Ovis aries: one gene and its partners. The main gene of each other region encodes a partner of the protein of the gene in region 2 in a complex. Links are inferred from orthologs where the notes say so. Each region holds a gene or a part of one and is shown on either strand. Other genes may lie near its edges. The genes, in order: ARPC2, ARPC3 and ARPC5.

What was found.
Region 1: ARPC3 (region 2) and ARPC2 share a complex: the UniProt entries of both Homo sapiens proteins name them as parts of the arp2/3 complex. The link is inferred for Ovis aries from reciprocal best matches to the Homo sapiens genes ARPC3 and ARPC2.
Region 3: ARPC3 (region 2) and ARPC5 share a complex: the UniProt entries of both Homo sapiens proteins name them as parts of the arp2/3 complex. The link is inferred for Ovis aries from reciprocal best matches to the Homo sapiens genes ARPC3 and ARPC5.

What each region holds. Positions count from the first base shown.
Region 1 is NC_056055.1:220,288,297-220,294,582, reverse strand, and holds part of ARPC2 (actin-related protein 2/3 complex subunit 2), read right to left. Parts: intron 5,509-6,286; coding exon 5,382-5,508; intron 3,198-5,381; coding exon 3,097-3,197; intron 2,789-3,096; coding exon 2,688-2,788; intron 130-2,687; coding exon 105-129; 3' UTR 1-104. UniProt on the Homo sapiens protein: Actin-binding component of the Arp2/3 complex, a multiprotein complex that mediates actin polymerization upon stimulation by nucleation-promoting factor (NPF).
Region 2 is NC_056070.1:54,361,638-54,369,756, forward strand, and holds the start of ARPC3 (actin-related protein 2/3 complex subunit 3), read right to left. Parts: upstream 5,486-8,119; 5' UTR 5,394-5,485; coding exon of another isoform or gene 5,388-5,393; intron 3,602-5,387; 5' UTR 3,568-3,601; coding exon 3,550-3,567; intron 2,791-3,549; coding exon 2,691-2,790; intron 193-2,690; coding exon 116-192; intron 1-115. UniProt on the Homo sapiens protein: Component of the Arp2/3 complex, a multiprotein complex that mediates actin polymerization upon stimulation by nucleation-promoting factor (NPF).
Region 3 is NC_056065.1:64,120,319-64,128,252, forward strand, and holds the start of ARPC5 (actin-related protein 2/3 complex subunit 5), read right to left. Parts: upstream 4,732-7,934; 5' UTR 4,645-4,731; coding exon 4,501-4,644; intron 2,205-4,500; coding exon 2,133-2,204; intron 1-2,132. UniProt on the Homo sapiens protein: Component of the Arp2/3 complex, a multiprotein complex that mediates actin polymerization upon stimulation by nucleation-promoting factor (NPF).

The DNA of each region.
Region 1 (6,286 bases), on a different chromosome or scaffold from region 2:
TCCCTTAAGAACCTGAAGAGGTGCAACATTAAAAGCTACGATTATCCAGTAGCAAGTGTTCCAGCCTTCAGTTGCCAGCCGCTTCCTCTTCCTGTTCCCAAGAGTTAGCGGGATGAAAACGTCTTCCCCCTTCAAAAGCAGAGATTAAGTCTGAAGGTTAGTTTCTGCTCACCTTCCCATCCACCCCACGCTCTGCACTAGAGATGGGGGTCAATGTTTTTCAAGCAGAGGTATGTGGAACTCCAGGCAAGGGTTACGGTCCAGCTTTCGCAGAAACAACCCATCAGCTTTCTTCCTATTGAATACTTCAGGGTACTAAGTAATAAGCCCATGAGGACAGTAAATATACCAAGTTAGACAGGCAAATCACCTGCCCACAATTTCTGCATGGCCTAGATCTACCTGCATTTTAGATTGGTCTCAACCCTCTTCTGAGTAAAAGAATTTGGGGTCCTCCTAACACAGCTTATGCCTTCTCAGGCTAGCAGAGAGCAGTTCCTTAAATTTTCCCCCATGGGGCCAAAATGTCACAAGCAGCAACCCTCCAAACTTTCCAAGCTTAAGCGTGTTTTGTGTTGTCATATGGTGACTACACTCAGTCACAAAACACTTGCCTCGCTTAAGGCTCCGGAGCCGGGGTGTCCTGTCCTACCCAGCATTCTAAGAATGGCCAACTTTGGGGACGGTTCCCAAAGATGGAGGGTACCTATCTGGCACAGAAGCCTGGAAACCAGAGCGGAGGACTACGGGAACTAAGATTTTCCTCTCTGGAATGTCTTACCCTACCACAGATGAAGCTAAAATATTTTGTTATCCATTCCCCAATAGAAAGCTCAATTCCAGCAGAGCTCTGTGGAGTGCTGATGGCTGGCTTCTGATCACAGAAGGGTTGTAAGAACCCAGAGCAGAAGAAGGGTCCTGGCTTCTCCTGCCTAGCTTTGGGAACTCAATCTGGTTTTCAGGGTTGTTTACCTCCTGCTTCTCCTTTCTGGGGCTCACCTCTGCCAAAGAGAGATCACAGGACGGAAAAAGGCAAAGCTGTTCTTCCTAAGTTCCAGGAAGGAAGTTTATGGACGACTGGCTCATTTCAAGGACTCATCTTTTCTTAGTCCCCCATCAGGACAGGGAGTTGTTCCTGCCCTTCCACTGCACCTGCTTTGCAGTAACCCCACACTCCAAGGCTGCCGGGCTGTGTGACGGAACCAGGGGAGAAGCCCTGTGGGGAGACACTGGGTAGTGGCTGTCTGGTGGGCGCTTCTCCTGAATGGACAGGCAGTTACAGGGCTGAAGGTGACAGGAGAGGTTCGTGACTGTTATGACGCCCAGCCCTTCGTTTGGTGTGCGACAGGCTGGCGGGTCAGGCTGCCTTCTGCTGTACTGGCTGCTGGCTCACCTCCTGGCCTCTACTGAACGGGGCTCTGAAAGTGGCACAAAATTGGCTGCTTCACACTCAGGGTCACCAAAATGGTGTGAGTGAGAGAAGCAAGCAGGGAAAGAAAAGGGAGACTTGTCAACTCCATGATGGAGGTAAGAGTCTGCAGGGCAGCAAGAGCACGTGCCCCCAAGACACACCCTCCTTGCCTCCCTACCTTTCGAGTTCTGCCCATCTTAGGCTGTGCCATAAAGCTGCACAGTAGAAGGAACGATGCTGCCACTGTGTTGCCATGGCACGTGGGCACTTCTCTCTAAGCAGAGGATCCAGCTGTGGACTGAACACTGCTGGCTCTGGGCAGTGGGAAGAGCTATTCTAGAGAAAGGTCTTTGGGATCAATTTCCTAGTGAGACAGGCAGCCTCTCAAGTATAGAAGGCAGGGGTGACTTACACTGCTCTGTATAAATGTCTGATGCTTCTGAGATTATAAGCACTCTGCTCAGGCACCCAAGAGTCAGACCCTCTCTCATCCTGTTAAATGGCAACAAAAACTAGCTTGGTATAAGAGGCCAAGGGAAGGAGCCTGAAGGCATAGGCACAACATACCTATAGAAGGTTATCCCAAGAGTGTGGGGTGCTGGAAATGGCTGTGTGGGTTGTGGGGAGGCTTAGTTCACCTCAAGACATTTAATTCAATGGGAACAAGTGATAGGAGACCAGCACCCATTGCTCTACTTGGAGAACAGGATGGCCTAAACCTTACCAGAGGGGGTTCCAAGATTTGGCACCTGGCACAGAACCAAACCCCCAGGCCCCGGACCATGCTGCTCTACTGAGGACAGTGTCTTGCACCCTTTAGGAACTCCTCATCATCTCTATCTCAGATAAAGCCGACCTCCTCTTTAGGCAAAATTCCTGCCAAGACTTGGACCAGGAAAAAGAATGCTTTGGAATAGTTCCAGGCCTATTTATGCAACTAAATGTCCTCAAGCAGATTATTCCATTTCTACAAGATATCAAGACAGTTAAGATAGGCCTGTCAACTCAGACCCAAAGAGAACATAGTTCATCTTGGCAAAAAGGCCTGTTTCTTTCTAGCAGCCACTATCCTCGATCACAGAGATGTGGAAACAAGGAGGCCCATTCAGATGTGAAAACCTGTTTGTCCCATCTTTAGTCTGCCAGGCAGCTATAGGCGCCCCGCTGCCTGTCTCACCTGCAGCCACTGCCCAGACACCTGGGTCACCGACACCCATGACCTCCTTGGTAAGCCTAGGAGAGGAAGGCAGTCCTGCTGCAGGATGGTGCTACTCACGTGATTGTTTTCATTTCCTTTTTCTCGGCATCTGGGCGTGCACGGTTCAGCACCTTGAGGAAGTCTGATGTTTTTGCCCGCATACGTGTGTGAATATAGGCCTGGAGGCAAACATAATGGGTACTGAAGCAGAGTCATGTTCCAGAAAGACAGCTTTGCTCTAAGTAGCAGAAATTATCAGAAAGGTCTGGGAACATCCACCCTGGGGCTGACATAGGGCTGTGCAAGCAAGCATATATTCACCTCTCTGCTATGGAGTGAGAGAGATGGAGAAAGGCCATGACTCAAAGCCTCTAGAACCATCTCTGTAGAGTTCCTAGCAATAGCCTATACCAGAGAGGACTTTATGCCATGAGCTCTGGTGGAGAGAATGGCGCAGAGCGCCGGTGCCGAGGCTGCTCTCACTCACCTTCGAGCACTTGATGTGGTAGTGCAGGTAGTCCCGGAACGTGTGGATCAGGTTGATGGTGTTGTCTCGAGCACTGGCGTTGGTATGGCGAGGGAACAGCACTGAGTGGGGGCACAGACAAGGTGTCAAGGTCTAATTACACCAATGCCAAAGGGTGGAAAGACCAGCAGCCTACTGTCAGCTCCCATCTTGCCCTGCTTTGGGACCGTCCACTTGTTTCATTAGGGTTTTCTGCCAGTAAGTGTAAATGGAGGAGACCATGGCCAAAAACCAGGGCTCCCTCGGCAAAGGGCTTGGTCCTGGCGTTCATTCCGGGTCTGGATTCTCCGGCCGTGCACTGTGAAATCTACTAGCTTCTGCCTCTCAGAAGTCTCTCTAGAAAACGACACAACTGGCTACCTGGGTGGACTCTGGAGCAATGGGGATTAGAGAACAAAGCCTGCCTGTTGCAGGACCTTGGTGCCGAAGCAGAGTAAGCTTTCAGAGAAACTAGATCCATAGAGGATCATGTAGTCTGTGGTGAACACCAAACAGGAAGGGACAAGAACCTGAGCATTCCTGAGGAGGAATGGCAGGATGAGTTGCTTTGGCTGGGGGCTGAGAAAAGCCCTTGCCACTGCCTGACCCCATGAAGTCCTGTGCAGTCAGTCACTCAGTTTCACACCTGGGCAGACCTGCACGCCTCTCCCTCTGGCTTCTGGGAATCCCCTCTATCTTCTGCATCTATCCTACTCAGTGATCTCGGCATCAGCAAAGTTCTTGAGCATCAGGTTTTGTTGAAACGAAAAGAAATGCCACCTAGGAAAGGGTGGGACCGCTGTGGGTCCACCTGCCCTCAAGAGAAGAGAGCACCAGGCCAGGGGGTAACCGCACTGCAGGGGCTCTGCTGATGACTGTAAGTTCACCATCAGTTTACGTACCACAAAGAGAGACCAAGAGAGACAAGAGGAGAGAGCACCAGGCCAGGGGGTAACCGCACTGCAGGGGCTCTGCGATGCTAATGACTGTAAGTTCACCATCAGTTTACGTACCACAAAGAGAGACCAAGAGAGACAAGAGGAGAGAGCACCAGGCCAGGGGGTAACCGCACTGCAGGGGCTCTGCGATGCTAATGACTGTAAGTTCACCATCAGTTTACGTACCACAAAGAGAGACCAAGAGAGACAAGAGAAGAGAGCACCAGGCCAGGGGGTAACTGCACTGCAGGGGCTCTGAGATGCTAATGACTGTAAGTTCACCATCAGTTTACGTACCACAAAGAGAGACAAGAGAAGAGAGCACCAGGCCAGGGGGGGTAACTGCACTGCAGGGGTTCTGAGATGCTAATGACTGTAAGTTCACCATCAGTTTATGTACCACAAAGAGAGACAAAGAGAAACAAAGAGAGACAAGAGAAGAGAGCACCAGGCCAGGAGGTAACTATACTGCAGAGGTTCTGCTAATGACTGTAAGTTCACCATCAGTTTACGTACCACAAAGAGAGACAAAGAGAAACAAAGAGAGACAAGAGAAAAGAGCACCAGGCCAGGAGGTAACTATACTGCAGGGGTTCTGAGATGCTAATGACTGTAAGTTCACCATCAGTTTATGTACCACAAAGAGAGACATTGCTAATTAAACTGTTAACAGGCTGTCCCAACCTCAGAGAGAGTAACGTGCCAAAAAAAAAAAAAAAAAAAAAAGCATGTAGACTAGACTTAAGGAAACCTGGTTAATCAGCCTGCTTATTTCCGATAAACGGATGCGTCTTCAGCACTATGGTGGCTTGCAGAACTCCAGAAAAGGGGACATCTTAGTGCTGTCAGGGTCAGTGTGTGTGTAAGCTGCGATTCTAAACTGTCAGCTGTTACCAATGAACCAGCTCACTAGGCTGAAGCAAACTGTGAGAGGGGTGGATGTCAATCTTTCCAGAGGGAAAGTGGGTAAGTAAATCACGGCTGGAGCTCTGGTCTAATGAGCAAAAAAACCCAATAGGCGCCAAAGGACAGAGAACCCCAACTAGCTGCTTAGCAGGGCTTATGTGGCCCTAACCCCTCCTACTTCACTCCAGGGGCTATCCTTTTTTTCCCTGAGGATTTAGATAAAACAGGGAAAAAAGGAAAATGATTACTGTATAAAAATACAAACAGCACATGACTTGTATTAGTGCCCCACGACATGCCTCCTACAGTCATGGCACCGGCAACAGGAACACTCTGGCACACCTGCTTTTGCCACTCAGCCCCATTTCAACTGCAGTATGAACCCACCAAGGTGTGCAAATGCAGCAACCCCGCCCAGCTCACCGAAGGTAATGTAGCCGATGTTGTCACCCACGGCGGCATCGGTATCTTTCAGCTCTAGGGGAGGTTCCCTGTGGCTGAAGAGGACCTGTGGGGCTGTGTGGCTGGCTCTGCGTCCTTCTTTGAACTCCTGCCAGGATGAAGCAAAAAGCAACCAGAAGAGAATCTGGTGTGAGATGAACAGCAAGAGCAGCAACCTATGCTCTGGGGTTTGCCCTGTGGATGTGACCTCTGAGCCCTCTGACCGGCAGAGGCTAAAAATAAATGACACCTAATATGAAGTACTGGTCTTCCCTGGTAGCTCAGCTGGTAAAGAATCCACCTGCAATGCAGGAGACCCTGGTTCGATTCCAGGCTCAGGAAGATCCCCTGGAGAACGGATAGGCTACCCACTCCAGTATTCTTGGGCTTCCCTGGTGGCTCAGACGGTAAAGAATCCACCAGCAATGCGGGAGACCTGGGTTCAGTCCCTGGGTTGGGAAGATTCCCCTGGAGGAGGTCATGGCAACCCACTCCAGTATTCTTGCCTGGAGAAGCCCCATGGACAGAGGAGCCCGGTGGGGTACAGTCCATGGGGTCGCAGAGGGTCAGACATGACTGAGCGACTCAGCACAGCACAACGTGAAATATTACCAGTGTTGGCTGCCATCAGTGTACTTCAGATTCAAAGAGGAGAGATCACAAAGTACTTAACAAGTCCGATTTTCAAAGAGCAAAGAAAAGCACTGTTAATCCTCTTCTTTTGTTTTGGAAAAATATGCATGATAAAACTACTTCTAAGGCTAAATAGACAACAAATTGCAAAGCACTCAGAGAACCAGATTACGTTCAGGATAAGGATGACAGTTTATTAGTTTCTTTTGATTTAATATGAAAGGAGGTTATATTTTTCAGGAAATTTGATTAAG
Region 2 (8,119 bases):
GATTTTTAAAATCACACAATCTAATTTCATTTTACTTATTCCTCACATTAACTCTGACTGCCAAGTACATACTATCCCCATCAGAAAACTAAAGCATAAAAATTTTGTACTTTACCTTAATTTCATAGTTTTTGAAGAAGACATTGGCCTTAAAGTAATAGATAGCTTCATCCACAATATCGGTATCTTTTGCTAAGCAGGGTAGGATGGGAGAAAGGCAGAGGATGTTAGCCAAATGTAAAACATAACATTTGAAAAGCTATAAAGAAAAAAAAAAATCAAAGCTCAACAGTCAAGGGCTTTGGAATTAAATAACACACAATCAGGCTACTGAAACAAAGTCTTTAGAATTTCCAGAAAAATAGGCACATGGTTTATTCAGACAGCTTTATTGTCTTTATAAAAATTATACACGCTCATTAGAGAAACAAATGAATCAATACAGGAAAATAAAAAGGAATTGTCACCCTAATCTCGCTACCCAGAAATAACTATGCTCAGCATTTGGTGAACATCACTCCAGACATTTCTCAATGCATTTACAAAAACAGACTGAGACACAGACTAAATTTAATAAACTGCTTTCTTAAAAATATTTGGATGAAAAAAAAAGAAAAAAAAAAATCTGGATGGCCAAAAAGTTCATTCGAGTTTGTCCAGAAGATGTTACAGAAAACCCCAATGAACTTTTTGGCCAACCCAACACAAAGAATGCCATACAATTTTATTTGAACTTACATACTATAGCTTTAGGGGAAAAAACTCTCAGCTGTTCACTTAGGAATGTACTGGGATTCACACATACATCTTTCTTTTTATAAAAACTGACTTCAAATATGTACAATCTGCTCAAGGTGGCTAGAGACTGAGAAAAACCAGAAGTACTATTGCAACAAAGACAGATCTCATTACAAAATTTCTGTGGCTTTTTTTGGGTTTTCCTTTTTTTTATTTTAAAAAGGTCACAATCCCAGGGTCTTGATATCCGGCAGCTGGTTTTAGCAATGTAGAAACGGTTATTTTCATTTCGCAACGCTGACTGCTATCCCTCTCACACAGCAGAAATGCAGAAGCTTTTGTACTCTAATCCAGTTGTCTTTATCTTTGCCCATTCCCCTGCTGGAGAATTTTAACAGAACTCTTTTTTTTTACCCTCCTTTAAAAAAATTTTTTTGGACATGTGGGATCTTAGTTCCCTAACCAAGGGTCGAACCCACACCCCCTGCAGTCTTAACCACTGGACCACCACAGAAGTCCCCCAAAGAATTCTAACTCTAGACTTCTGTTCCCTGTGATCTAGTCTCTTATTTGCTAAAAAAGAAACTTCCTTCTATGATCCCACAGTACTTACAAAAAACAAGCTAGCTCTAGTGTCATGTTGCAGAGGAAGGGAAAGAGGCCAGCTGATAGGACTCAGGCTAGTTGATAGGATTCAGAACATAGAAGAGCATTTGGCATATATAAGGTGTTCAAAAGATATCTGTTGAATGTAAATAACTAGATTAATGCTAACAGTTACTTAGTCCATAGCACAGGCTTGTATTTCTCCATAATTCCAATTCAGTCCTATTCCAGCCCCCTAGGGAAGAGTAACAGGCTACTCTTAACTACAGAAATCATGAAGTTCCAGTTTCCTGCAGTCCCATTCTCTCTCAAGGGCCCAAGAATTGCAAAGGTGGTAATTAAAGTCACTTCACTGGTCAATTAAATCTTCTGATATACTATATGGTATTTTGGCACAATCTGGGAAGTAATCTGGTCAAACACTGATCCTTATTCTTCCTCTGCAAAAGAATAATGTCATTCTTTTACATTATTTTTCCTGTTTTTGGTGGCTTTTTTTTCCATCTCAGAACAAGATTGTGGTGACTCACCAAATTTATTAAGTTTACTGAGCTTTAACTGGTATTGAAAACAAAACTAAATTAAGAGGAAGTCAAGTCAAATAAACTGGCCAGAAGAATGGAGACAGGGTCAGTACAAAATTAGTTATCTAAACTATGGTCTTGGAAACCACAAATGGAACTCAGTGCAGACCCTTCCTGGCTGCAGGGAAACCATGTCTAATATAACACAAATTACACTGTTGGCAGAACATCTCAGAATGTCGTCAGAAGAGTCTCAGATAGTATCTGAAAAGAATGAGGCACTCTGAACAGAGGGAAAAAAAAAAAGCTCCAAAAAACAAGTGAGTGCCAAGAAAGAAAGCAAAAGATACAAAATTCAGAAAAGCAAGAGAAGAAATGAATAATGTTATACAGGACACTTAAGACTGAGGTATTGGTAAAAACTGGGGTCCTGAAGAATGGACAAAGGAAGCAGATTTAGATAAAGAAAGAGGTTAAAATACGCTTTGTTTTTTCCAGCTTGATGACACAGAAAGGATGGGGACACGATGTTTTATAGAGGCAGCAGCATTAGATTAGTAAGAACTGACAGTGATGATAGGAAGAGTGTTGAGAATTAAGCACATTTCCTCTTCTCTCTCAACAAAATATCCCAGAGAAACTAGCAGCAATAATACAGTTTCCTATTAAATGCAACATCTACCCAAGATCTGAGAAGGTGGAAAGCACAATATCCATCAAGCAAATAGAAAATACAAGAGCAATCTGAGATTTCCCTGATGTGCTAACATCAGAGGGTTTCATACCAAAATGTGAAAATAATGGAAAGGGGTTTTGACTTACTTTCTCTAGGGGCAGGTCCTTTGAACTGACTTCTGATAGGCAATAGTGCCATGTTTCCAATGAGTTTGGTGTCAGGGTCCATGAGGGAAGAGTGGTAAGCCTGTAAGGACAAGCCAGGTAAGAACACAGAAGCAGAAAGAGAGCAAATGTCACTGGGGCAAACAAGTACACTTCCCCAAGGAAAAAAATAATTCATCCAAGATAAACTGGCTCATGAAAACTATCAAAGTTTCAGGAATTCTGAGAAAATTTGAGGCAAGCTAATTGTTGAACACAGCCATTATTAAAAATAAAGTTATAGAAATTTTCAATTAAATAAATTATATTAAAAACAAAGGTAATAAATATTTGACACTTTCATTATTTCCTATTTTAAAATTATTTTACCAATGTCTGTGATCTTAAGGTTAGTTATGCCTTTTGCACCTACGGTGGAAACACTGTATGATAAGGTGCTACTGTGCTTTCCTTCCAATTTCACATCTGGTGACAGAACATTGGTAACTGGTGAGGTATTCACACTATAGAAATAGGCAAACACTATATAAATCAGAGGTACCCAGCAACCCAGCTGGTGTTAAAACCACAATCAAAGAACTGGCTCTTCAGCTCTGCCACTTTCTGGCTTTATGCCTTAAGACATCACTTTTCTTCTCTTAGCCTATTTCTACATTTGTAAAATAAAAACATATATACTTGTTTTAAGTGGGTGGATGTGAGTTAGCGGAGAGAGGAAAAAAATCACATTTATGAGAACAATTTATAGGCCAATTTCTAGTTCGGCATTTTACAAGATGTCTGGCTTTTTGTAAGACAACATGGGCCCCAGTCATTTATTCATCAAAAGATTACTAAGTACCTTCTGTGTGCAAGGCATGTGGAGATATTGGCATGCAAGACCAGCCCTGGCTCTGTCAGGTGAATAGAGGAGACAGAAAATAAGTAAGTCATCACAGGGGAGGTCAAGGGTGCTCTTTGTGCACCTGGAATGATGAGTACAAGGCATTAGGGTTCTGGCTTAAAATCTGGCTTTATCAAGATTTACTAGCGTGCTTATGTATTTAAGGGCTTCCCTGGTGGATCAAATGGTAAAGAATCTGCCTGCAATGCAGGAGACCTGGGTTCAGTCCCTGGGTTGGGAAGATCCTCTGGAGGAGGAAATGGCAACCCATTCCAGTATTCTTGCCTAGAGGAGGAGCCCAGGATTCTTGCCTAGGACAGAGGAGCCTAGTAGGACCCATGGGATCCCAAAGAGTCAGACTCAATCGAGTGACTAACTTTAACTTATGCGAAAATGGATTTAAAATGGATAACCAACAACGACCTACTGTACAGCACATGGAACTCTGCCCATTGTAATGTGGCAGCCTGGATGGGAGGGGAGTGTGGGGAAGAACAGATACATGTATATATATGGCTGAGTCCCTTTGCTGTTAACCTTAAACTATCACAACATTGTTAAATCTACTACACCCCAATACAAACACACAACACACACACACATACTGGTGTGTTACACACTAGTGTGCAACTTTGGGCAAGTTACTTAACTTCTCTGAGCCTCAACTTTCTCCTCTGCAAAATGAAAAACCACTAACATATCCACTTCATAATCACTCTGAGGATTAATTAGGGAATAATTTATACAAACTGTGTAGCTCAGAGTTGGCCTGACATGCATCAGGAGTCAAATGGTAGCTATGGGATTCACCAAACCTTAACTATGGTTTACTCCTTTTTATTACCGATGTGCTTCACCTAACGCAGCCCCTTGTCTCACCTGCACTAGCTATGCTGTCTTATTACCTTCATGGCATTTGCCACTATCTTAAACAATCCCCCCATTTTATTCACATTCACAGATTATGTCTCCTCATTAGAATGTAGACTCCTTAAGAATAGGGACTTGTTGGCCTTATTCACCGCTGTAATAGTGCTTTGGCATGCAGCAGATGCTAAACATCACATGTTACTGAACATGCTTTTTCCTCATCTGCAAAATGGAGACCATGATGGTGATAAATCTACCCGTGACTGTCAGAAATTAAGAACAACCAAACCACCATCAATTTTAACTCCTACTCTGATGCACATTAAACAAACATGTGGAAACTAGGCGCGGACCTTGCACCTGCTCTGAGAGCCCTAAACCCAGCGGCTCAGGGGTGGCAGCCACTGCCGGGGCGACAGGGGAGGAGGAGTCAGGGAAGTGGGGTCGGACAGGCGACAGGCAGCATAAGGGACCCGCCTCCAGAGGCAAAGGAGGAAGTGGGCCTACAGGGAAAAAAAAAAGAAGCCGGGCCCTAGCTGTGATATGAGAAATTAAAAGGGCAGCCCTTGCCTTCACGGCTCTAGTGAGGCTTTGGGAACCCCGCTGGAATCGGGGGGACGGGCAGAGGCGCAAAAAGCGATAAAAAGGATCAAGCTTGGAGAGGAGGGGGCAGACCTGTGGCAGTCTCCTCAGCACGCCCCGGGTCTCTGGCCCACTCTGCCATGCCCTGTTCCTCCACGGCCGGCCGACATCCCCGGGCCGCCCTAATCCCACAGAGGCCGGTCCCTCTCCTCTGGCCTTTCCCCTTCTCAGGCCCCTGCTTTCTCTCTGCCCTCCTCGGCCTACTTTTCTCACCGCACGCAAGACTTCTCGCGACTCTCTCAAATCCCCGCCGTCTCCCGACACCCCCACTTTGGCCCACTTACCGGCATTTTGGAGGCGCCCCGGTTTCAAACCCAACGAAGAGAATCTGGGTAGAGATCGGCGGTTCCGGTCTGGCAGCCCGGGCGGGGTAGGCGGAAGTGAGCCGGAAGGGGAGGGCGAGGGCAGGACGCCGCGCTTCCGGCCTCGCAGTATGTGGCTAGCCGCTGCAGCTGCGCGGATCCGACAGGGCACCAGGGGGCGCTCGAACCCTAGGCAGGGGCTCTGAGTATCGCGCCTGCGTGAAGTGTGGGCGAGAATGAGGTGGATTTCGGGGTTACAGAATCCTAGATATATCACCTCTTTCGTTTTTTCTCCAAGACCACCTTTTCAGTAGCATTCCCTGGGTCATCCTAAATTCAGTCCCACTTCACTGCCCTTTCCCTCAGTTCTTATGATTCATGTTTTACTTTTGGGTTTTGTCTCTGTCCATTCGTATGAACGTCAAAAATGCAAGGACTGTCTGTTTTGTTCACTGCTTATATCCCTACACCTGTAACAGGACGGTACAAGGTAAGCATCAATAACATGTGTTGAGTAAGAGAAGGAACTCAGTCCACTGATTTTAAAAAGGAAAAAATGATCACAGAAGGGATTTGTGTACTACTCTTGTGTGATTACGTACTGCGATTCTTTGTGTAATGGTTGAGAAAAAATTGGTTTGAATCCAGCTCCAACATTTATTGGCTGTGTCACCTTGGCAAGTTAACCTCCATACCTCAGTTTCCTCATCTGAAAATGGAGATAACAGTGATTACCTGAGTTTTGTGAGGAAATGAATTGCATGGAATGTGCTTAGAACTTACATGCCTGGAACATACTAAAAGCTAAGGAATTCTTAATCTTTACCGGAAAGCACCTCAGGTTAAAAGCCAAGTTCACTGCTGCTTCTGGCCATTTCTTTTGCCAGTCCCACAGAAGGAATTACTTTGTCCCATGTTCCCACAATTGATTTCTCATTTATATTTCTGGCCAAATTTTACCTTTTAGGAGGAGACTTCCTTGGTGGTCTCAGATGGTAAAGATAGTCTTCCCTGATCGAGCTGATCTACTGGGCCCTTAAGACTAATTATACACAAGGAAACCTCTAATGAGGGTGACTGTGGGGCTACTTTGCTCCCATCAAAAAAGCCTCCTCTTGTGTGTTAGTCACTCAGTCGTGTCCAACTCTTTGTGACTCCATAGACTGTAGCCCACCAGGCTCTGCTGTCCATGGAATTCTCCAGGCCAAGAATACTGGAGTGGGTTGCCATGCCCTTCTCCAGGGGTTCTTCCCTGGAGAACCCTGAACCCAGATCTCCTGAATTGCAGGCAGATTCTTTACCATCTGAGCACACACCAAACTCTCCATAAGGCTAAATGAGGGAGGTATAGCTCAAGCAGGATGAGGAGGGCAAATGAAAAGGTGTCTTATTTTTCTGACTCTCTCACATGACAGTAACATTAGATCAGGGTGTTTTTGCCCTTTGCATACTCGAGGGCCACAGAAAAAAGAAAAAGCAAGAGATTTCCAAAAAAACATCTACTTCTGCTTTACTGACTACGCCAAAGCCTTTGACTGTGTGAATCACAACAAACTGTGGAAAATTCTTAAAGAGATGGGAACACCAGACCACCTGACCTGCCTCCTGAGAAATCTGTATGCAGATTAGCATAACTGTAAGCAACAGTTAGAACTGGACATGAAACGACAGACTGGTTCCAAATAGGGAAAGGAGTATGTCAAGGCTGCTTATTTATTGTCACTCTGTTATGTATATGCAGAGTACACCATGAGAAACGCTGGGCTGGATGAAGTACACGCTGGAATCAAGATTGCAGGGAGAAATATCAATAACCTGAGATATGCAGATGACACCACCCTTATGGCAGAAAGCAAAGAACTAAAGAACCTCTTGATGAAAGTGAAAGAGGAGAGTGAAAAAGTTGGCTTAAAGCTCAACATTCAGAAAACTAAGATCATGGCATCTGGTCCCATCACTTCATGGCAAATAGATGGGGAAACAGTGGCAACAGTGACAGACTTTATTTTTTGGGTTCCAAAATCACTGAAGATGGTGACTGCAGCCATGAAATTAAAAGATGCTTGCTCCTTGGAAGAAAAGTTATGATCAACCTAGACAGCGTATTAAAAAGCAGAGACATTACTTTGCCAACAAATGGCCATCTAGTCAAGGCTATGGTTTTTCCAGTGGTCATGTATGGATGTGAGAGTTGGACCATAAAGAAAGCTGAGCACTGAAGAATTGATGCTTTTGAACTGTGGTGTTGGAGAAGACTCTTGAGAGTCTCTTGGACTGCAAGGAGATCCAACCAGTCCATCCTAAAGGACATCAGTCCTGAGTGTTCACTGGAAGGACTGATGCTGAAGCTGAAATTCCAATACTTTGGCCACCTGATGTGAAGAGCTGGAAAAGACCCTGATGGTGGGAGACTGAAGGCAGGAGGAGCAGAGGATGACAGAGGATGAGATGGTTGGATGGCATCACCGACTCAGGGGACATGAGTTTGAGTAAACTCCAGGAGGCCTGGTGTGCTGCAGTCCATGGGGGTGCAAAGAGTCGGACACGACTGAGTGACTGAACTGAACTAGGACTTAGAAGAATTCCCTAAGAAGCCCAGTCTGTCCTCATGTTGTCTACTACTGATGTTCTCCTAAGTGCCCCTGTGAGAATTAGCTCACACCAGCAGATTATGGTGCCAATACCCAACTCTCGCCCCCAGCTTGGGCCCCCAG
Region 3 (7,934 bases), on a different chromosome or scaffold from region 2:
CTCTTGCCTGGAGAATCCCATGGAGGGAGGAGCCTGGTAGGCTATGGTACTGAGCGACTTCACTTTTGCTTTCTTTCTTTCTAAAAAGAGTGATGTCATCTGACTTACATATCCCATGGAGGGAGGAGCCTGGTAGGCTATGGTACTGAGCGACTTCACTTTCGCTTTCTTTCTTTCTAAAAAGAGTGATGTCATCTGACTTACATTTTAACAGGACCAGCTGGCTGTCATATTGAAAATAAGCCCGGGGCAGCAGGAGGGTCGGGGGAGCAGGAGACAGAAGCCTGGAAGCCAGCTTGGAAGTTCCTGCACCAAGACAGGCTGGCTTTGGCTGGCATGGCAGCAGCAGAGGCAGCCAGAAGCAGACAGAGTCTCGACATATTTGAAGGTAGAGCTGAAAGGGTTTACTTACAGATAGATGTAACAAATTATCAATGTATTAAATCAATACATTTCACTTCTTGATTTAAAAAAAATAGACCAAAAGAAGGAAACTGAATTATAGTTCTACCCTGATGCATCCTTCAGAAATGTTATTAATAAATAAAAATTTAAGTTTCTAAAACTTATTTTTCATTTCACATCTATAGTCAAGTGACTATAGGTATTAGAGTGGTCTTCATTTATAATGATCTTTTTCTTTGATGAATGACTGCTCCAACAGCAGTTGCTTTTCACCTAGCAAGCCAAGTACACAGAACACTTAATTTCCCCTTTCAACAATGTTTCTCTTTCTATTCAACACAAAGTGATACCTTCTGCATTCCTGCCGGTCATGATCTTACAGTATGCTTCTACCACCTTTTGCTGTCTTCAGTTTAAAGACTATGCAATTATCCGTTTAGAAAAATATCCTTGTATGGAGAGCTATAACCTCCCACCCACACGCTCTGATTAAAAAAAAACACCCACAAAAAAGCAGAAGGTGGTAAAACGAAATTTCAATGACGTTACTCACTTTTAAAAACCAAAGAAGCATTTCCTCTTATAAAAGATTATGTTGCCTAGATAATAATGCATTTACCTAAGTTATTATTTACTAGTATTTAACTAAGGAGATACTTGGGGCTCCTAGGATGTGTGAATGGCTATGGACAGTGGGGGGATCAATGCTCTGGGTGTGGGATTATGGACGATTACATTTTTATTCCCCCATATTGCTGAGTTTTCTACAATACTTAACAGAACTAAACATTAAAATTTAATCTGAAAAAAAAAAGAAAAAAAATTTAATCTGGGCTTTAAACAATTAAGTAAATAGGTTCTTAAGAATTACTGAAAGATGGTTAAGAGGCAATGTAATTTTACAACTTTTCTGAAGGGTAGTATGGCAATACCATATGTAGCCTTAAAAAAATGTGCAGTCTAAAATCCAGCCATTCACTTCCAGAAATTTATTCAAAGGAAACAATTCAGACTTTACCAAGAATTGTTCATTTCAATACTATTTATGACAGGAAAAAAGTCAATAAATATATGATGAAAGTTTATATATAACTAAACTGCAGGATTATCAAAATACAGATGTTAAAAAAGATATTATAGAAATAAACTTATTACCAAGTAAAGCTGTTCATGTATGCTGCTATACAGATGAAAAGCAGTTTATCTATTTTAATGAAAAGAAAAACTCATAGAAAAACTCTATAAGCATACAGCAACAACAAAAAGTAATGATTATCTACAGGTATGGAATTATAATTATTTTCATTCCCCCACATTTCTGAGTTTTCAATAATATTTAACAGAATTAAATATTAGAATTTAATTCTATGAGAATGGTAGAATTTTAAAAAATCTTTCAAAAGCAAGTAGCATGTGTTTATTTTGTGAAAGTTTCACTTGTTCTTCAAGCCTTTGCTCAAATTCGACCTGAGTGGCCTCCTCTGAAAACACACAGATGTCTCGGTCATTAGAACTTAAGTCTACCTACCACGCAGCGTTATCACAACTCAATTTTGGAGCACTAATTTTTTATATAGGTTTTCCACCTATCAAACTACATTGTAAGCTCTTCTATGTCAAAGACGGCAAACAGTTAAGACATTTGCTGACACTTTGTGAGACACTTTGGAGGGTTCTGGTAAGAAGGCTGAGACGCCAGCACAGATCGTGTGTTGTCTGTGACTCACCTTCACTGCCTGACTCTTGGTGTTGATGGGGGGGTTTTTCAGAGCTGCCTGTAGGGCAGCTGTCATGTTTCCTGTGATGGAGGTTAAGGGGATAGCAGCAAAGGGCAGCCCTCAGGAAAGCACTGGAACTCCCAGGAACCACTGGTTCTTGAGATTTGGTGTTATGCATAGAAAGAAAAATTACTATGGTTGCTACGTTCAATACTGGAAAATTCAACATGTTCGTTTCAAGGATGTCAATCAAAGATAAAATACTGAAAATGAAAGAGAGCATTAAATTTTTAAAAAATAAGGCAAAAACTGTTTTACCCTTGGCTCTAATTATTAACTGAGCACCTTAATAACCTTTCATTTTCCAGTAAAACACATGTGCAAACATTATCCAGAGTGACATTTAAAAAATTCTAAAATATATATCAGAATTATTTAGGTCCCCAAATGAAACAGACTGTCTGCCTATCCTTTGATTAGAATTATATTCTATATTAATTGAAATGCTGGTAGAAAAGTGCTGGCAGATTACTCTAGCAATCTGAATGATATACATTAGCAATCTCTCAATATTGATGTTAAGAGGCATTACAGAAGATAAAATAATGACCTGTAGGTGGCAGCTTAATTTTTCTGTTTTTTAATATTTTCTCTCATATTTCATAAAGGTCATTCAAACTGCTTTAGGCCACACCTATTAAATTTAGTCTTCCTTTGAAAGCACCAGTGAGTTAGCAAGAATGAGGAACAGAAGGCCAATCACACTGTCAGAATGTACAGTCATTGCCCTAAAAGGAAAACCTCACAGAGTTCACTTGTTCCTCCATCTGTAGTGCCTGATCAGGGCTTGTCTCTTCTTGTTGAGACAAGAAGGGACAGTATCTTTATATTTCAAGATGAATTGATTTATTTTATTTATTTATTTTTTTAAGATGAATTGATTTAAAAGCAGATCCACTATAGGGATACAGCAGTACCATTGAAGAGTCATCACGTCACCTAAAAAAAGTTAGTCTCACAAAACATCATTTATGCATCACGAAGAATGTTTCTACACAGAATAATCTTCACCACTTATGTTCTAAAGAAAAAGGTCTGACTAAAAAAACTATGGTTGGTGGCAGGCTGTTATTTTCAAGGCTTAATGGACTTCTAGAGAAGCGTCCCGTTTGCAGACTGGCTCACTTATGAGACTGCTCCCCTCCACCCCAAACACTTAAGTATGTTAAATAATGCAAAACAGCAACAGCTGATTGTGAAAGTAACGGAAATCAAAGAAACATCTGTATGTTGATAAATGTTTAATGCTGTATTTTAGGTGCCTGTAAGACCAGCTGTGGCTGCTACCAAATATTTTCACTCATGTATTTCCCCATTTAATTTAATAGGCCACTGATGAGGAAAGTCTAAAGAGCCTTCCTAATCTTATGAATACACCCAAGAATAATTAGAAATGAGTGAATTCAGTAATTGACAATCTCTAAAACGACAGCCTGGGTTATTGCAACATTTACATTTTTTCCGAAAAAAGAGCTCATGCAAATACTCCCTCAAAGTTATGAATATTCAAATATGCAAAACCCAAACCAGGAACTGACAGCCACATTTTAACTTAACGGAAACGATTCCATCATTACAAAATGATTCGGTTTTGTACAAATGATTCACTTTTTCCTATGTTATTCTTTGGCGTTTATTTAAAATATTTCCAGGGATTCTCTACATGCATTTTCCGTCTAGCAGGTAAAACGCTTCCAGCTTCTTTCTGAGCAGTTTTGTACTCATTCCCTTTCCCCTGGTTAACCAACTCTGTGCAACCTGTATTTTGTCAAATCCCTTCCTCTTAAAAAAAAAAAAAAAAAGGCGTCCACAAGCTTAAAAAGACAGACAGAAGGGCCTCAATTCTGCAAGCCGCCCCATGTCTCCCGGCGTGAAATAACGCTGCCACAACAAAACCACCACCACAATAAAAAGAAAATCACTGAAGAAAAATGCCCGCTCCTCCCGATCGGACGTGGGTTCTAATGAAAACCCGATAAATACGATCTGAGAGGACCACTTAAGCTCCCTGCAGCTCCCCGACTGACCAGCACCAGAGCCGCGAGGGCGCGGCCGTCCCCGCCGGTCCCCGGGAGGCGAGAACTCCCGGCGCAACCTGAGGAATCGGGGGCGTGGACAGCGCGCTGGCAAGGTAAGTTTCCGAGGGCGGGACCCGGGGGTCTCGGGAGAAATAGAAGAGCCCTCCTGCCCACTCACGACAGGGAGCCCACGGAAGCGGGGGTCCCTGCCCTCACGCCCTGCCCGCAGCTGGGTCCCGGAAGAGGGGCCGGGTCGGGTGGGGTCGGGTGGGGCGCGAAGGCCAGCGAACTGAAGGATATTGCCGCAGGCAGGAGTCCACCTCGCCCTCGTCGGGCCCGGCCTGCCCGTCGCCCCCGTCTTCCTCATCCACGAACTTGTTCTCGTCGTACTCATCCACGTCCACCTTCCGGAACCGGGCCGACGACACCGTGTTCTTCGACATCCCCGCTCCGGACCGGCGGCCGAGGCCTCCTCTAGACGCTGCCTCGACCTTAGCAAGCCCAGCCCCAGCTGGAAGCCGCAGACTGGCGCCTCCACTTCCCTCTTCCGCTCAGAGGCGTAGCCGGCAGCCGCGTCTCGGGTGGTTCTGGGCCTGCGCGCTGGCCGCGCTCCTTCCTTCTCAGGCTCGCGCCTTCCTCGACCCTCCTACGCCGCCCCCACGCGCCCCACAGCCGGGCGCGCCGGGGCGGAAGCGCGCTGGATGCAGCGCGCATGTGCGGACTCTCTGCGGGAAAGGGGAGGAGCGGGGCGACAGAGGCGGGGGCGGGAGGGGGCGGGGCAGGAGGGAGGGCCCAAAGCGGTGCCGCCTGTAGAGGTAAGAGGCGATTGGGCCTCCGGGTCCGTCACGTGATCCCTAGGGGGTTTCCATAGAAACGCTTCTCTGCGGTCCAGTCTCGGGGGGGGGGGGGGGGTGGTCTTAGGTTGGCGGCGATGGGCGCTGGGGGCAGGTGGCCTTGGCTTTGCTGCCGCCGCCGCCGTCAACAGCCTGTCATCGGGGTCCCGCTTAAGGTCCGGCTGGCACGGACTTACCCGTGAGCTGGGATGGATTGGTTGCCGGACCAAGTCTCCTGCAGTTGGCAGGAGTATGGGGCGGAGTGATGCACGCCCAGTCGCTCAGCATCGTTCGAGTTGTCAGAGACCTCGCTTCGGACCGTCTACTCCCCGTGGCTTCGTTCCCGAGCCGGGAAGCCCCTTTCTCGGCTGTGGAACTACGCTGCGCGGCCAGCTTGAGGTCCCCAAGGACGGAGTCGAAAGGTCACATCTTATCTGTCAGTGCTGTGTAATGGCAAGCGACTGCACCTGCAGAACTCGAACCTAGGTATCATAAACTGGGGAGAAGCGGGAGGTGTCTGGGCAGGGGCTTAGGGTCCGGTGGCAGGACTGGGATGAACCTGTGGAATTTGGGGTAGGGTCAGCCATTGACATCTTAAAATAAGTGGTTATTTGGAGTAAGAATGCTAGAAAAGGGTAGGGGCGAGTTACACTCTGGCTCTGAGGCGAAACAAAATGTGTGAGGATTAGTTGAAACCAGATCTTTAAGATTTATTTTTATCGCTTAAGATTTATATGATCCTCCTAGGCCAGCGTCTTATTGTATTTGACACCCCCGTTTCTGCGAGCAAAGCTCTCCCTGAGCAGGTAAGAGCACTAAAGCACTAAATTTGAGGAAATGGTAGTTGGGTGCTATGTCTAACACTGAAGCACAAATATTTGCAAAGTGAAATTAATTTGGATATTTATCAGGTTTAGTTTAATTCCACCTTTACCGGAGGGCTGGCTGCTGCCCTGTTAAATGCCTCAATCCTTGGTTTTCTGTACTGTAATTGAAAATAGCACTTGGCTTATAATCAGAAAACCTTGGCTTGAGTCTTGATTCTTCCTTCCACTCATAACCTATTGATTGAGGCAGGCCACTTAAAATTCTGAATGTCAAGTTCCTCATTGCTAAAATGGGGCTAATAATGTGTACTTAACAATAGTGTTCTGAGGGTTAAACACAAGAAATTGTTTGAAACTCTAAAAGTCTGCCTCAATGCAAATTGCATGTTATCTGTACCATTGATTTTGGCACTAGTCTTATAAATTGTTTAATGATATATTGTGTGATATATTGCCCCTGGAAGAGAGAGAAAAATTCTGGAGGGCAGAGACTGTCTTATTTCTTTTCTTTTCTTTTTGAACTGAAGTACAGTTGATTTACAGTGTTGTGTTAGTTTCTGGTGTACAGCAAAGTGATTCAGTTGCGCATACATATTGCATCTTCCTTTACGTCTCACATAAAACTGAGCATGCAGAGGGTACTCAGTACATTCAGACACTCAATTATTCATTGATGAATGAATAAATGTGAAAGGCAGTACAGTTTGAGCGTCACACAGAATAATGAATTAGAAGAGGAAGACATCTCAAAGTCAAACCTTTGTTGGACATATATACATATGTGTATATATAGCTGTATCTATATCAATTTGTATCTATATACATATGTATGTAGAGATAGATAGGTAGACAGTTAGATGGTAGGTAGATACTTCCAGAATGAAATGCACCCCTTTTTCTTGGGAGGAAGAAGCAACATGGCATTTTCTTTTCCCAGTTAAAGTACCCTCAATAAGATTATCATTAAGTGATAGAAGTGACATTTATTTAAATCACCACTCAAGTTATGAGCCAATACACTGCTGAAAACTCCCTCAAAGGCTGTCTTAAGACAGCCAAGGAAAATTTTCTACCTGTTGGCAATATATATTTTAAAAAGTCTTATACCAAAGTATCAGATCATTACTATGGTGAATGGCATTACATAACCTAGAATAAAGATTTTTTAAATGTTTTTTTCTGAGTTTCAATCTTTGGTGACTTTAGTAAGAACTGAATAATATGTTTGTTTAAATGCTAAAGATGGTTGTACTTTTTGTTTTTGTAAGTCACGATTTTCTCTGAAGAGAAAATTGAACATTAGAAGCACATTTGAGAGCAAATGGAAACAAGAATTCAAGAACTAATACATCCCTTCTCTTCCATTTCTATTCTAAATAAGTAGGGCTTATTTAAGAAATTTCTTTATTCTTTTTTTTTTTTTAGAACTGGGAAAGAATACCAGAGTGGAAATCAACTTAAGGGAATAATGAGGGGAATTTTAAAACTCAAGTTGTTCAAGGGTATAATTGTTTTGAATTATGCTGGGTGTGTTAAATGTGTTAAATATAATTAATTAGTTCTCAGTCACATAATGCATATTACATTTCAGATATAATTATGTTTAAAATGTCCTTTTCCAGTGCATATTTTTTGTCTCACAATAATAAATACCTAGTCCACAGTGGGTGCTCAACGCCTTTCTAGCCAATGAATTAATCTGACAAGTTAATTTTGGAATCATATTTAGAGGTTGAGGTTTTTAATTATCTTCCCATCTTCATTAGCTAATAGTCAACTCTATATAAAGCTTTAGAGAAATTTCTTTGTGTGTATATGAGTGTATGTGAAGAAACCAGTCCTTCATAATCTTTTAATTGGAAAATATATTCTTCTTTCTTGCAAATTCCAAATTTTTATTATTGATTGTGGCACTTAATTTATTTTAAGTAATATTATTTTTCCTACTTTAACTTTCCAAGTGAGTGCTTATTCCTGAAATAAAGGATCCATATGGTTTTAAGACATTTTATTTATTGTGCACATAGCCTGGTTTGGTTCAGTGCTAAAGTAATACTGAATCTGAATCTGAAT